Caenorhabditis elegans: one gene and its partner. The protein of the gene in region 2 interacts with the protein of the main gene of each other region in a pairwise test. Each region holds a gene or a part of one and is shown on either strand. Other genes may lie near its edges.

Region 1 (6,780 bases), on a different chromosome or scaffold from region 2:
GGGAAATAGTGCACGGTCATTCGTCGTTGAGCATTCCCTTTTCTCGATGGTCCTCTACATTATTTGTCGGGGTTCCTTTCCGGTGCCATGTTTAGATTATCCTATTGGTAAATATATTCTATTACTATTGGGAGTATTCAACCGCCAAAAAGAGCTACTACTGATGATGAATCTTTGTTTATGTTTACAAGATACATTTTATTGGCTAACAGCGGAATTTGAATTCCCAAATTCCCCAACAAAAAACATCATAGTTGTCCTAAAGCCACAAAAAGTGGCCATGTGGCTCCAAAGCGATGCAAAAACGAGATTATACCCGAAAAGAAGCAAACTTTTTGCCTGTTGTCCACATCCTATGCTGCTCTCTGTGCTCACCACAGCTACCACCACCACCCACTAACTGCGGGTTCTCTTTTGATGATGAAGTGGGTCCTCCCCGTGCTCTCCCTTTTCTCTTCACTCTGGGGCTCATCTTTGCCCCTATGGCTCTCGAGAGCCATCTCACCACAACATCTATCTTGTACCCATGTTTTTGAGACTGGGTGAGACGAAACAAGAGATGTAGACGAAGAAACAAGAGTGAACCGCCGTCTTTGTCATAAAATCGTCGTTTTCTATTCATACCGAAAGTCCATAAAACGTCGGGTCAATACCACCATCCAAACCTCCGATTCTTCTGTGTGCTCCTCATGACAATTAACGTATAAGAGCAGCCAATAAACTGACGCTCACCACCAGACGATTTTTGGGTCAAAAACATGTGCATCTCATCACAGGCAATTAAAATTTAGGGTGTGTCCCTTAGAATTGATCTCACAATTGCAAAATAGTTGAACTTCGAGCTCTTTAGAATTTTTATTTCGAAGATCCATTTCTACACTGATTTGCATAATTCCTGCAGCTCAGCTTCTCCTCCATTCAACTAATGTCATTTTGATGTGAGACCCTCGACCCTCTTTTTCTATACGCCGATGCCGCGCGCAGAAGCACAATTTATATGTCTCTATTTCTATGGTTGAGAAATAGACGACGACGGACATCGGCATTTTCGTTGACTTTATAGTACTGGTTTTCTTTTTATTTTTATGTGTTCTTTTCCTTCTGTATCCTTTGCCGACAACTATAAATTGATTCATCCGACTCCATATATTAATTTCTGGTAATTTTAAAACAAATTCATTTTTATAGTTTGAATATGCAAGCAACCGGTCAGTTCTATCACAATATTGATACTATTTAACTAAAGTAAAAGTAAAAGATATGAGTCATCATTGTTTCGTCATCCACTTTTAATTTTCTCTCGTCGGCTCTTGTTTAACTATAGAAGCACCACACCCATTTTGGTCGAATAAATTGAAATAGTGATGTGGAAATAAATAGTTAGGAGATGTAACCACTTCCATTGAGGTGGCTGATGATTTTATGTCCTCGTTGGACGTTGTTTGTGGCGTTGATCTTGTATTTTCTTCTGGACTTCTTGGCTGAAATATTGAGTTCAGATCATATAGGAAGTCATTCAAAGCCACCTTTAACTCGACACAGTAACGACGTTTGAATCTGTAAAGCCAGTTTGCATCAAAAAATTTTGCAATATCCGGTATTTCTGGATGCAACTGATAGGCAACATATTGAGCATACTCCTTGATCCATGGATTCGTTAGACGCTCGCCTTTATTTTGGCGTCTCACGATTTCTTTATTGACTTGTAAATCCACATCAGCATATTCCTTTCGACTCGTTCGCAATATTCTTCGTTCTACAAAAAAACAAGTTTAAGCTCATCAATCAATGGATTAGAAAAAAAACTGACTCTTCAGAAAGTTAGTCGTCTTCATCTTTGTTACATCCAACGCCGACAGAATTATCGTCTTATCCTTTTTGTCGGCGTGGCGGCGTCCACTAAAGTATCTAAAAAACGAAAGATAAATTATCTAGGTCATATAGAAGATGTAGAAGTCCTCACCGGATTCCATGTTTCTTCCGAAACAAATTAATCCACCGATCAGAGACATCGAAGCCGCAAATTCTGCGAATCTCACGCCTCATCCATTCGTCTCCTTAAAACACTTTTTTTTCTATTTAAGTTTTCAAATTTGATTCAAATATATTAGTTGATCCTTTTATCAACTTTAGGTATTCTATCTGTGCTTCGATATACTACGGTCTAATTTGGAAGCCATATATGAACATTATAATTACCCATATTGTGCAGGGTATATGTTCACATAATATAAAAGGCCTGTTCAGTTCAAAAAGTATACTCCAAAATCATTGGAAAGTCATTTTATGAATGAAAACTGTCGTATCTCATCACTCAAATTTTCACACCTCGTTAGTTACAGTTCTATTCATTCCGGTAACCCTATTGTGTTGGGACATAAGATTCCTGATGGGACCACAAAAAAGTGGTGGCGTGTTTGCTACCCAACACAAATACCCTTGACTAGAGAAAGGGACTACGCAATCGTCGCGCAATCTGCCCCTTTCTCAACAGCAACAACCAAATTGGCTTGTTGAGAGGAAAAACAGTAGGTGGGATTACACACACTTTCTCTATCTGCCTAATATCTCTGTATCCTTTTCTGCTATTTTTTCGGCGCGAAATTTGAATTTGAATATCATAATTTCGTGGCAAGATCTAACTCCATTTTAAAGGTAGACGATTATTTTATCGGTGGGTCTCGCCAAGATCTCCGGAATTTTTATTGTGACCGAACCCAAATTTCATGATTTTTCAAAAATAATTTTAAGTGAATGTATAATAATGAATAGAAAAAGTCTGAATGTTCAGAACCTAGTCGGGTCGACTGAATTTTTGGAAAACATTTAGCGAACGTACATCACCCAAATTGTTAAAATAAACAGAGAAACATTCTATTCGTACCTATTCAGCCTAAATCAACCATTACATCCGTCTCCCAGTTTTTCCATTCCCACCTTCTAAATTGTATCATATATATATATATATATAAAATCTCACCTATATGTTGAGTACTCTGTCCATTGCTATCGCACATCTTCACCTCTTCATTATAGACATTAAATAGTTTCTGCTCTAACTCGCCTTCTTCAATACGACAGTTCGACGAGCTAGATGTAGAAGATGTTGAAGGACTCGAAGTAGATGTAGTAGTTGCCATTCAACGCAAATACACAAAATGAACTATTCTCTTGTCTTTTTTCTTCTTAGTTTTACCCCCGTTCAAACGCCTCCTTCCGATTCATCTTGTTGGTTGCAAACCATTTTTACCTTTCGTGCGCCGGTTTTGGAACTGCGGAACACGTAGTGTACTGTGTGGCGCCCTCCCTGTATAGTTATACACTCGACACTGCATATTTACATTGCGTTTCTTCGGTTTTCTGAAGGTCAAACCGATTGACTTCATCTCTGTTTCTTCTTTTTTTTTCAACCGAGGGGTTCGTGGCTGGCCTTCGAGTACTTTTGAACCATGGACAGCATAGTTTTCCATGTTGTTTTTACGGCCTTGAAAATTGAAGAATAGCAGCAAAAACGGTCACCTCTCGCATTGTAAACACCTGTTCTTTCGAATCAAAATGGGAATAAAACCACGAAGGAGTTTAATTAAAAGTGCTATTCAAGCTGGAACAAGAAATATTTTCGGTCCAAAAAATTGAAATCATTCAGAAAACCAACAATATAACAAGAAAAATTTAGGTTTTGAGTTTGTTTTGAAAGCTTAACAATTTTTTGTTTTCAAATATTAATTTGTTAAAAGAGTGATTTTTAACAATTATTATTTATTGGAATACATTGATGTACCTTTTCTATTTCTTATATATTCTCTTCAAATATATCAAAGATCATTCAAAATAATAAAATTAAATTTCAGATGAGCTCTAGTAGTAGTGATGAAAATGAAACAACGATACACAGAACAGGATCAAATACCGGTGGAAGTGGAATCTACTCACAACCTCGAGCAGGATCATCAAAAAGAACATCGAATGTGCGACATGATGTTAGTGATGTAGATGATGAAGAAGAGCATTATGCAAGATTTCGCGAAGATACGGTAAGGATTGTTGGAAAAAACAGATTTTCGATGTTGGTAAAAGGCCAAGTTTTGACTTTTTGAGGAATTTGAGCAATTTTTGTACCTGTACAATGGTCTTCTAAGTAAAAAAAATCGGAGCGTAAAAAATTAGAATATAAAAGTATTTTTTAAGCTTTTTAACTATTTTTTCTGAAAATACAATATTTAAAAGTTTAATTACAGGCGATCGAGGTTGACGATGCTATAACAGTTCTTCTTTCATCTCTACATTTCGAACACAAACGTGATATTGTTCCGACCGATGAAGATGATAATAAACTTCGAGAACTTCACGAAAAGATTTTTGCATTGATAACGAGTGAATCTGATGTTAACAGGTAAATCCGAAATTTTCAGAATATTTTTCAAAAAATCGTTTAATTTTAGAAAAAGACGGCTGAAAAAAGCTCTTCCTGCGTCAAACTGTGTTAGAGAACAAGTATATTATCTTCGAAGGAAACCATCAACACCACCAGCTTCTTATTATCATCGACTAAATGCAGCTCTTCACACAATCGTTAAGGAATCATTTGGAGAAGAATATCGAAAAGTTGCTACAGTATTAGGACTTGTTGAAGCGCTTGCAGAAGTTTTAATTCTTGAAGTTCACACATTTGGAATCAATGAGACCAATCCTGGAGAGCATCGAAATATTCGAAAACTTATTGCCAATGCTCTTACGAATTTAACATACGGTCAAATTCACTCTAAACGCCGGCTATGCTCATATGATGGATTCATTCGATGCGTTGTTCGAATTGTGATCGAATCTCCAAATATAACTCAAGTATACGCTGGACTAATCAGAAATCTCTCATGGAACGCCGATTCAGGAATGAGTGAAGCTCTTCAACCAACAGTTCATGCACTTTCAATTGCTGCAGTACATGCACATACACATAGATTCGATGTTACAGCAACATTATCTGCTTTGTGGAATCTTGCTGGTCACTCAGTAGAGAATAAACGAACTATTTGTGATACTCCGAATTGTTTAAAAGTATTAGCCAGCCTTCTATCTCCTGATGCAAGATTCACGTCACTTGTTGATTCAGCTACTGGAATTCTGAAGTATGTATCACAATATCTCGCGAATACTTCCACGCATTTAGAGGTTAGTTTTTGATTTGTTTTTGTTGAAAAATGCAAGTGAGGTTTCAAAGTTATCTTTTTTTTTCATAAATAGAAAGAAAAAAATCGAAAAAAATTTCATGGCGAGTCAAAATTTTGCAAAAAAAAATCCAAATCTTGCTAAATCTTTCGTCAACTTGCGCTTGTTTCCAATTTTGGACATTTCTGAATATCGACTTAAAATGTGCCTAAATAAATTAACGAGAGATAAAAGTCAGAAAAATATGCCACAAAAAGTGATTTCTTCAACAGGGATTTTAAAAGAAAATTTTGGAAAAATTTTACCCTTTTTTTCACCTTTTTGTAAATTTTTTGAGAAGTAAGTAGGTTTTTTTTTTGAGAAATTACGAAATTCGATGGTTTTGTGTCAGTTGAAGTTTTTAGGCAAAAGAACCCACAAACACTTCCCTTTTGCACATAAAATTGATCAAACTGAACAAATATCATTATTTCAATTAATCCAATAAAATTTCAGCTAAGAAGCTTGCTCATCACTCGAATGCTCACTTTGCTCAAGAGTGCCTCGTTCACTTGTGTTACAAATACTCTAGGAGCTATTGCAAACCTAATTGTCAAAGATCCCCACATGCAGCAAATGATTCGGCAGGATATGGCTGCAGTACAGCAACTCAACGTACTCCGAAACTCGAATCGTGATGATATTCGGACAGCAGTGAAGTCTGTGCTGAATACTCTTAATCAACCGTGTAGTCATCGTTATGGTGATATGTCACATTCTGTTGGAGGAGGAGCCACAGGGATGCAAATGCTTTCGGAGCCACAACTTCAGATGCAAACATCTCATCATGCTTATCATGGAACTGCGTCACCAAGATTACTATCACTGAGAGCAACTCGAGCATCACCTGGAAAATATATACAACCACAGGCTCAACAACAGTTGATACAGACTCCACAAGTTGATCAAAGATCTAGTAGTCTGCCAAGACATTTTGCCGTTCAACGAAATGGATTTGTGATGGCACAGTCCTACAATCAACAAATGGATCAACATCAGCAACAACAAATGATCTATCAATTGCAGCAACAACAACAAATTATGGTAACGATTTTCCAGCGTTTTTTTCTGTAATTTTCTCTTAGTTTCAGACGGAGGATCAAGCGCAAATGGAACATCATCAACAAATCATGTACCTTCAGCAGCAACAACAACAATTTCATCAAATTCAACAACAGCAACAAATGCAAAAAGCTCAGGAAGCTGATCCAGTTCCTCCTACGGATGACGATCTAGATATTCCCACATCTACCGTAATGGGAACACGAAGTAACAGTGAAAGAAGTCTCGGCTCGATGAATCCTGGAAGTGTTATGACAAACTGGAATTCTTCTCTGGATACTGCAGCCAACAGTTCTCGTGCTCTTTCTCCTGTATCATACAATGATATTCCAGCTTCTCCAACAATGTGTGCTCAGGTGTTCAATTTACCTAAATCCACTGAATCGGAACATCATCAATTGACGTCTCAACAGCAGAACACTACACATTATAGCAGTGGATCAGCTAACACTATGACTCGGAGTGATGGTGCAACTACTGTGCCAATGGATAACATTATTACACCAACTTATG
Region 2 (6,780 bases):
AATCCAGAAAACATAGATATTCTAGGATTTTTTCAATTTAAATTTTAACTGAAAAATAATTAAGTTGAAATGTAGCAATAACCTCCGATAACTTTGAAATTCGAAAAAAAATATTTGCTTCAGTTTAGAAAATTTCCATTTAAGCACTGTGCGCTGTAAAAATTGAAATTTCATCAGTTAACGAAAGCTTTTAAACAAACTGAAATTTGTATAAAAGGTTTAATAACATGAGTTCGAAAATTATTTTCAGAAAAATCATTTCTTGCAAGAAAAATCGTAGTTGGCTAAATTTCAATTTCTCCAAAGGACACCTTCAGTGCAAGTTTTATACACGAGGCGTTTTCAATTGAACTATCAACTTAAAAATTACAGCTTTTCGAATAAATTGTAGCAGCTTCCTAATATCCGTTCAGCCTAAAATAATTTTCAAAAAAACACAGATCCATGTTTTTTGGTTAACATCCATATTAGTACTGAACAATGTCAATTGCACATACGAAACGCGAGTCTTGACACTATTGTCTTTGTGAAAATTGAAAATGCTCATTTTCCTTCCTCTTTTTAACAATTTCTGTCTTTTGGTGCCAATCTTTCGAGAGTCACATGCCGTACATTCTGGAAATGAAATTTCGTATGGACTCTTGAACGTTTTTCAAGTAGCTAATCAACGACGTCTTCTTGTTTAGATTGTTATTCCTCTGTTTCCTTCTGTGCGCTTTTTCCTTCTTTTTTTTCTTGTCATCCAAATTTCGTTGTTCTCAGATTTTTTTTTCTGAAACTGGTTGAAATATGAAATTCTCGAAAAACAGGTTTTTTGAATAATATTCTTGAAACTGCGATAGTTGAATCAATTTGGAGCTCGGTCATTGTATTTCTTTATTTTAAAAAAGTTTAAAATGTATTTGTGCAGCATTTTATATTGTGAGCACGACAAAATACAATTTTTTTAACCCATATAATAAACGCCTAATTAAACACCACAATATTTATCAAAGAGTGATAATTTAATTAACATTGAGTTCCAGACGCTGCGACGCCGAGAAGTTGGGAAAAAAAATTAATTTTAGCTGAAAATGAGCTTTTTTTCCAGAATTTTCAATACGTCTCATTACAAAATTCGATAATTTTTGTGCAATTTTGGGTCTAAAAAATAAAAGCCTCAGATTTTGGTGCTTAACCTTCAATGTTTAATAAAATATAAATACCCTCAATATTTGATTCATTTAGATTGTAATAGGTATTTGCACAATTAACCGTTTTCTGAAAATTAAAATTCTGGTGTCAAACTGTAACATTTTTTTAAATATGATATATAACATTGACGCTGCAAAAACTGAAAACTAAAGGTCTATCCTGGCCTCATCGTATTATATGTACTTACAATGCAGGGCTAGACTATTTTGAATTTGGCTATCACAACTGGAACTCTTTCAGTATAAGTATAATTTTGTTATTTTTAAATTACACAACATGATCTTGGCCCAAATGTTTTTGAAGTTGATGGTTCCACATCTAATTCTGACAAACATTCCAATCCACAAAAGTTAATCCAAGAACTGCCGAAAAACATGCAACTCTGCTTCGTTTTCTATTCAGACGCCTTCCGAAGACACATTACATCAAAAATGTTGGCGGAAAAAGGCCAACGCAAGAAGACGAAGATGTGGTAGATAGAGTAAGATAGAGTAAGTTTTTGGAGCAAGGCTCCCGACAAAGTCAGTCACAATAAAAAAGAAGATGTGGAGGAATAGGATGAGGAGGAGCGGTGACTCCTCTCCATCACTCCAACAAATCTAAACTCTTCTACTCGGCAATTCTATCAAAGAAGGAGATGCGCATAAGTCAATCAGCTACAAGTGCACCCATACATGCACACGCATGCTTCCTAAAATCACAACTAATTGCGCAAGACAAGACGATGAGAGAGTACGGCACACACGCAACCGCTTCTTCGTTTTCTTTTCCCCGCCGACCGCTTTTCTCTTTTTGCCCCTGTTTTGTCCTCCATTTTCCGATTTTTTTTTCTATTTTCAAATCGATTAGGAACTGAGTGATAGTGTGGATAATTGCTTCCAATGTCGCAGAAGAACGGGTGATGAGACGATATATAAAGAGCAAAACTTGCATGCTTTCATCTTGATTTTTGTTGCGTTTCTTTCAAATTTCTAGAATATAACTTCGTATATTTGCTCTAGTGCATTATGCTACTGCCAATATCTAAAAAAAAGTATGGTTTCCTTTTTTTTGAAATTTGTTTCCCAATCGCAAACTATGTGTAATTTTTTAATTCATATAGTTTTCCTAAATAGTGAAGCTTTTTTTTTGTTTTTATCATGTTTCACATTGACATCAACATGTAAATAAATACAGTTTTTCAGTATACGAAACCACGTAAAATAATTAACACCACATTTTTTGTCACAATGTTGGAAATTCAACTGACATTAATTTTTTTTTGAATTATTTTTAGATGCATTGCGATAATGGTTTGGTATGCCATTCTACTTGTACCAATCCGAAATGTTTGATATTGCACTAATTTTCCTTGTATCATTGCTTTTGTAGTGAATACTATCAGCTTTTTTCAACTAATCAATCAGAGAAACGAGTTTATAAGAGTTGTGTCACTTGGTGTCAGAGTGTCCCATTTTGGTTTGATCTACGTAGATCTACGGAATGTGCGGGGATCTAGACGCAGACTTCTCGACAGATTTTTTTGGCATTTTTGAAGGTGTGCTGACGTCGCCTTTTTTGTAAATCAAATCGTAATGAGACCGCTTGCCATCACGTGCTGTGTTAGTAATAATGGTAATTTTAAAAATTCATATGAAAGCATGGAACTACTTGAAAAATACAGTAACACAAGTTTTGTATTGTATAATATATATAACATTACATTTATTCATTTCAAATCCATGAAAGTAGAAATATCTTTCCCCCGCACTGACAATCATATTTGTAGCCGTTTTGTAGGCGCCCCTCCTCTTTTTTTGCGTTTTTATTTTATTTTTTTCTCTCAACACATCTTCAATCTTTATATTCCTATTTGAAAACGTCTCCAGGGAACCTCGCTCATCGGTCTCCCAACCAACCAATTTCCAGTTTTGTTCGGCTCGCAACTTCTTCTATTTCTTCTGTCCCCCCCCCCCCCCCCCCCCCCATCATCCTAAACTTCTTTCCCTCCTTCTTAACATCGGCTTCCGTTTTCCTCCTGTTTCCATTCTCATATTCAATTTGCGGACGGACTTTTGGTCAGTCCACTTTCCTTAAAAGTCCTTTTAGCTACACTACCTACACTTTTCTCTGCATTTGCTCTTTTGTTCAATACTCCCTTATCCGTTTTTCCTCCAGGAAAATGATCAGAAGCAAAAATATTTGGTTTTAGTGTTTAAAATTGCGTTGCCGCATGAGTTATTCATTTCTTCTTTCATTTCCTCTCTCCCCCATCTACTTGGCCCATTGTTCCTCATCATTTCTCATCATCACTCAATTATTTTTCCTCGTTTGCTCTTTTTTCATAGTGTGCCCTTTTTGTCATTTTTAGCAGCTTAATCACTGAGTTTTCAGCGAACCTCACCTCTTCACCCAACGTTTTCCAACGTCACCACCAGTTTCAATACGATATCCAAATTGTCCTGATATCGGACAATTGCTTCGTAGTATACTGGCTCATGGTAGCTGATATACTCGATATGCAGTTGAAGGTTTGATACGGTTTTGAGTGAGCGTTTTTTTTCAGAAATGTTTAACAAGTGTTTATTGTCCATTTAGAAACGGAGTAGCATCAGTAGGAAAGTTGTTTAGGGGCTGAAAAGTCAGAATATGAAACTAACAATTTTCTTCAAAGTGCACAAAAAATCTTTGTTAATTTACAGTTGAAAGCATAGTAATTTTTAAAATGAATTTCTAATAGTGTACCTAAAACATGGACTAAAATATCAATACATTCGGAAAATTGTTGAAAATGTTATCTCTTTTTCTGCTGATTTTCAGCATAAATAACATTCTGGCACTACTTCAACTTTTGTTATTTTTCCACCTAGGGCTGGCCATCTGGACGTCCGCCCACATGGAGTCACCATGGGTGGCAAAATAAGGTGGAAATTTTTTTTATCACAGGAATTAGGGGAGCTTACATCCTGACATTTTCTGGGTTCCGCTGCTTACTATAGAAACGCACGCATTATCACAATGAGACGCGGAACACAAAAAAATGTCGGGATATACGCTCCCATAAATCCACGAATGTTCAAAACCGAACGCCCGATTGTCCGAAAATCAGTACATTCGGAAAGGCCAGTCCTCTGGATTACCAGCCCTATCTTAACCTAACAAAAAATTGGTTTTGAAACCTCATGGCCTTTTCTGCGTGAAAATAGTTTTAAAGTCCAAATTTTCTTTCTGATAAAATGTTGTCTTGCGTAGTATCATGTAAATATTTTAATTTTCATTATTTTCATCTGCACGAAAACATTTCGGTCAAGTAGAAAGTGCAAAAAAGATGTATTATTACGGAAACGCAATCCAGTAATATTATTAATAAAAAACATTTACAAACCAGAGGCTCTGTACTTTATTAAAATTGACATTCATTCAGTTTTTTTAAACATGTTATGTTTATAACAAGGAATTTGTAATCGACATACGTCCTCCCGTACTAACAGCGATTTGCCGAGTGTCTAATACCACTTTGTTTTTGATTATTGTTTAAAATTCACTTTCTTCAAAACACCCATGTTTTTTATTGCTGAAACCATCTAACATCTTGTTTTACTTCTCTAACCGTTTTTCTTTAATACTTTTTTACTAACATTTCCACCATTTCATCATTATTTCATATTTTACAGAGGTGAGGATATAATGCCTGTGCGGAAAAAGCATGGTCCGTACGATATCATCGCCGACGATGTCTACGACTGCCGTATTCCACTCCATAACGAACTCGCTTATCAGCATGGTATTCATTTCGAAGCAAAGGTTTGTGAAAAGATGTATTCGAATGTTTGTACAACGCTAATCTTGTTTAAACGAACATTGAATATTCTGAAAAGCCCGGAGGGTGTAGATTAGATTGTCTTCAAGTTTGGTCCTAACGCGTTTGCAAATTTAATCATAGTGGGAAGTTTAGTTTTTTTTTTCTTTCAAAAAGAAAACAAAAACAAAACTACTGGATTTAATCCAAAAAGGGTTTTTGCAGTATGTCGGAAGCATGGAAATTCCTAGACCCGGGACGAGAATCGAGATTGTGGCGGCGATGCGACGAGTTCGAGTGAGTTTTTTTTATAAAAACTCGCAAATAGAGATATATTCAAAATGAGCTGAAATTTGCAATTGAAAATTAGTAGTATAATCTAAAATTTGTATAATTACATGGTTGCAACATTATTATTAGTAGTGTAGAAAATAGAATCGTAATACTTTGAAAGATCATAATTTATTGAATTTTTTACAAATTCTACACTTGCTAGTGTTTTCTTCTCTACAATTTTTTCGTTTGTTAAATCAATCAATATTAAAGTCAGTAAATGCTAGGCGTTGATTGAATAATCTGCCACACTGCAAAAAAGCTGATACTTTTTTACCTAAAACCTATAGTCGTATCTAAAACTTTTTTTGTTGATTAAGGAAACATAAGCAATCAATATTTGAACAAGCATATCATCGATGTGAATTTGAATTTGACCGTGTCATATTTGTTGATTTTGACTGACTTTTTCTTAAACAACCAAATTGAAGTGTTTGAAGAAAACGCTTTTGAAAATCTATTTTCCTAATTCCTTGATTATTGAATAAAACCATTTTCAGTACGAATTCAAAGCTCGTGGTATCAAAAAACGCCCGGTCGACATTACCGTATCCGTCGATGGTGTCAAAGTTGTTCTTCAGCGGAAGAAACAGAAAGAGAAAGGTCTCTCTTGGGATGAATCTAAATTACTTGTCATGTTTCACCCAATATACAGGTATTGTTAAATTTCTGTAAAATTGTTATTGTAAAAATTTTGAAGGATATTCTACGTGTCACATGATTCTCAAGATCTTCAAATATTTTCCTACATTGCACGGGATGGAGCTAGTAACACATTTAAATGCAATGTATTTAAGTGTTCTAAAAAGGTTAGTCATTATTTTCAATATTATTATTATTATTATTGAAGTAGTACTGTGATCAAATTTTTTTTTAGAAAGAGCGTCGAAAAAGTTAAAATGTTGAATTTTTTGTATATGGTGAAACTATCGAATTTGAAAATTTATGTGGTTTTCAATTAAGTATGTATTACATGAATTTTTTTTGAATAATATTTATAGAAATGAATACCGATGTTTAATCACTATACAATTTCCCAACGCGTTGTTAATCAGTTCCCACAGGTGTTACATTTCCGAAACTTCCCATTTTCGAGAAGTGGCGGAAAAACTGATTTTGTTCACAATTTAGAATATTATCCGACTCAAAAATTTTTTTTTCATATTGGCGATACTACTCTTGTAATTCTGTAAATGCCCCTCAATTTGAAAAATTGAATTGTCTACACACTTGTCCACACTACCCAAACATTTTTCTACTATCAAGAAAATGCAATTTTCATTTAAAAAACTACAGACCTTGCTGAAGATTTCGTGATTTAAGATGATAATAAGCTCTAAGACTCATTCAAATTTTTTGTGGCAATAAGTATTTTTCAAACGTTTTGAACAAAAATTATCGAAGAAAGAACAAATGATAATCAGAATTACCATGCAATCCTAAGTATTTTCACAGATTATACTTCATTTGAAAGC

The links.
Region 1: the proteins of dyc-1 (region 2) and apr-1 interact in a two-hybrid assay, tested with the Caenorhabditis elegans proteins (one large-scale study listed by BioGRID).

The regions. Positions count from the first base shown.
Region 1 is NC_003279.8:8,046,192-8,052,971, forward strand, and holds the start of apr-1 (Adenomatous polyposis coli protein-related protein 1), read left to right. Parts: upstream 1-3,851; coding exon 3,852-4,034; intron 4,035-4,238; coding exon 4,239-4,393; intron 4,394-4,442; coding exon 4,443-5,169; intron 5,170-5,661; coding exon 5,662-6,249; intron 6,250-6,290; coding exon 6,291-6,780. Other genes in the region: K04G2.7 (HTH CENPB-type domain-containing protein), read right to left, coding at 1,290-1,481, 1,527-1,756, 1,811-1,908, 1,964-2,057, 2,981-3,140. UniProt on the Caenorhabditis elegans protein: Has a role in endoderm cell specification and pharyngeal development. Required for the migration of epithelial cells, organization of the anterior seam cells and ceh-13 expression during embryo morphogenesis.
Region 2 is NC_003284.9:14,045,968-14,052,747, forward strand, and holds the start of dyc-1 (Dystrophin-like protein 1), read left to right. Parts: upstream 1-3,567; 5' UTR 3,568-3,704; intron 3,705-3,860; exon of another isoform or gene 3,861-3,881; intron 3,882-4,847; 5' UTR 4,848-4,860; coding exon 4,861-4,977; intron 4,978-5,197; coding exon 5,198-5,269; intron 5,270-5,805; coding exon 5,806-5,960; intron 5,961-6,005; coding exon 6,006-6,114; intron 6,115-6,780. UniProt on the Caenorhabditis elegans protein: Together with dys-1 and hlh-1, participates in a common muscular function.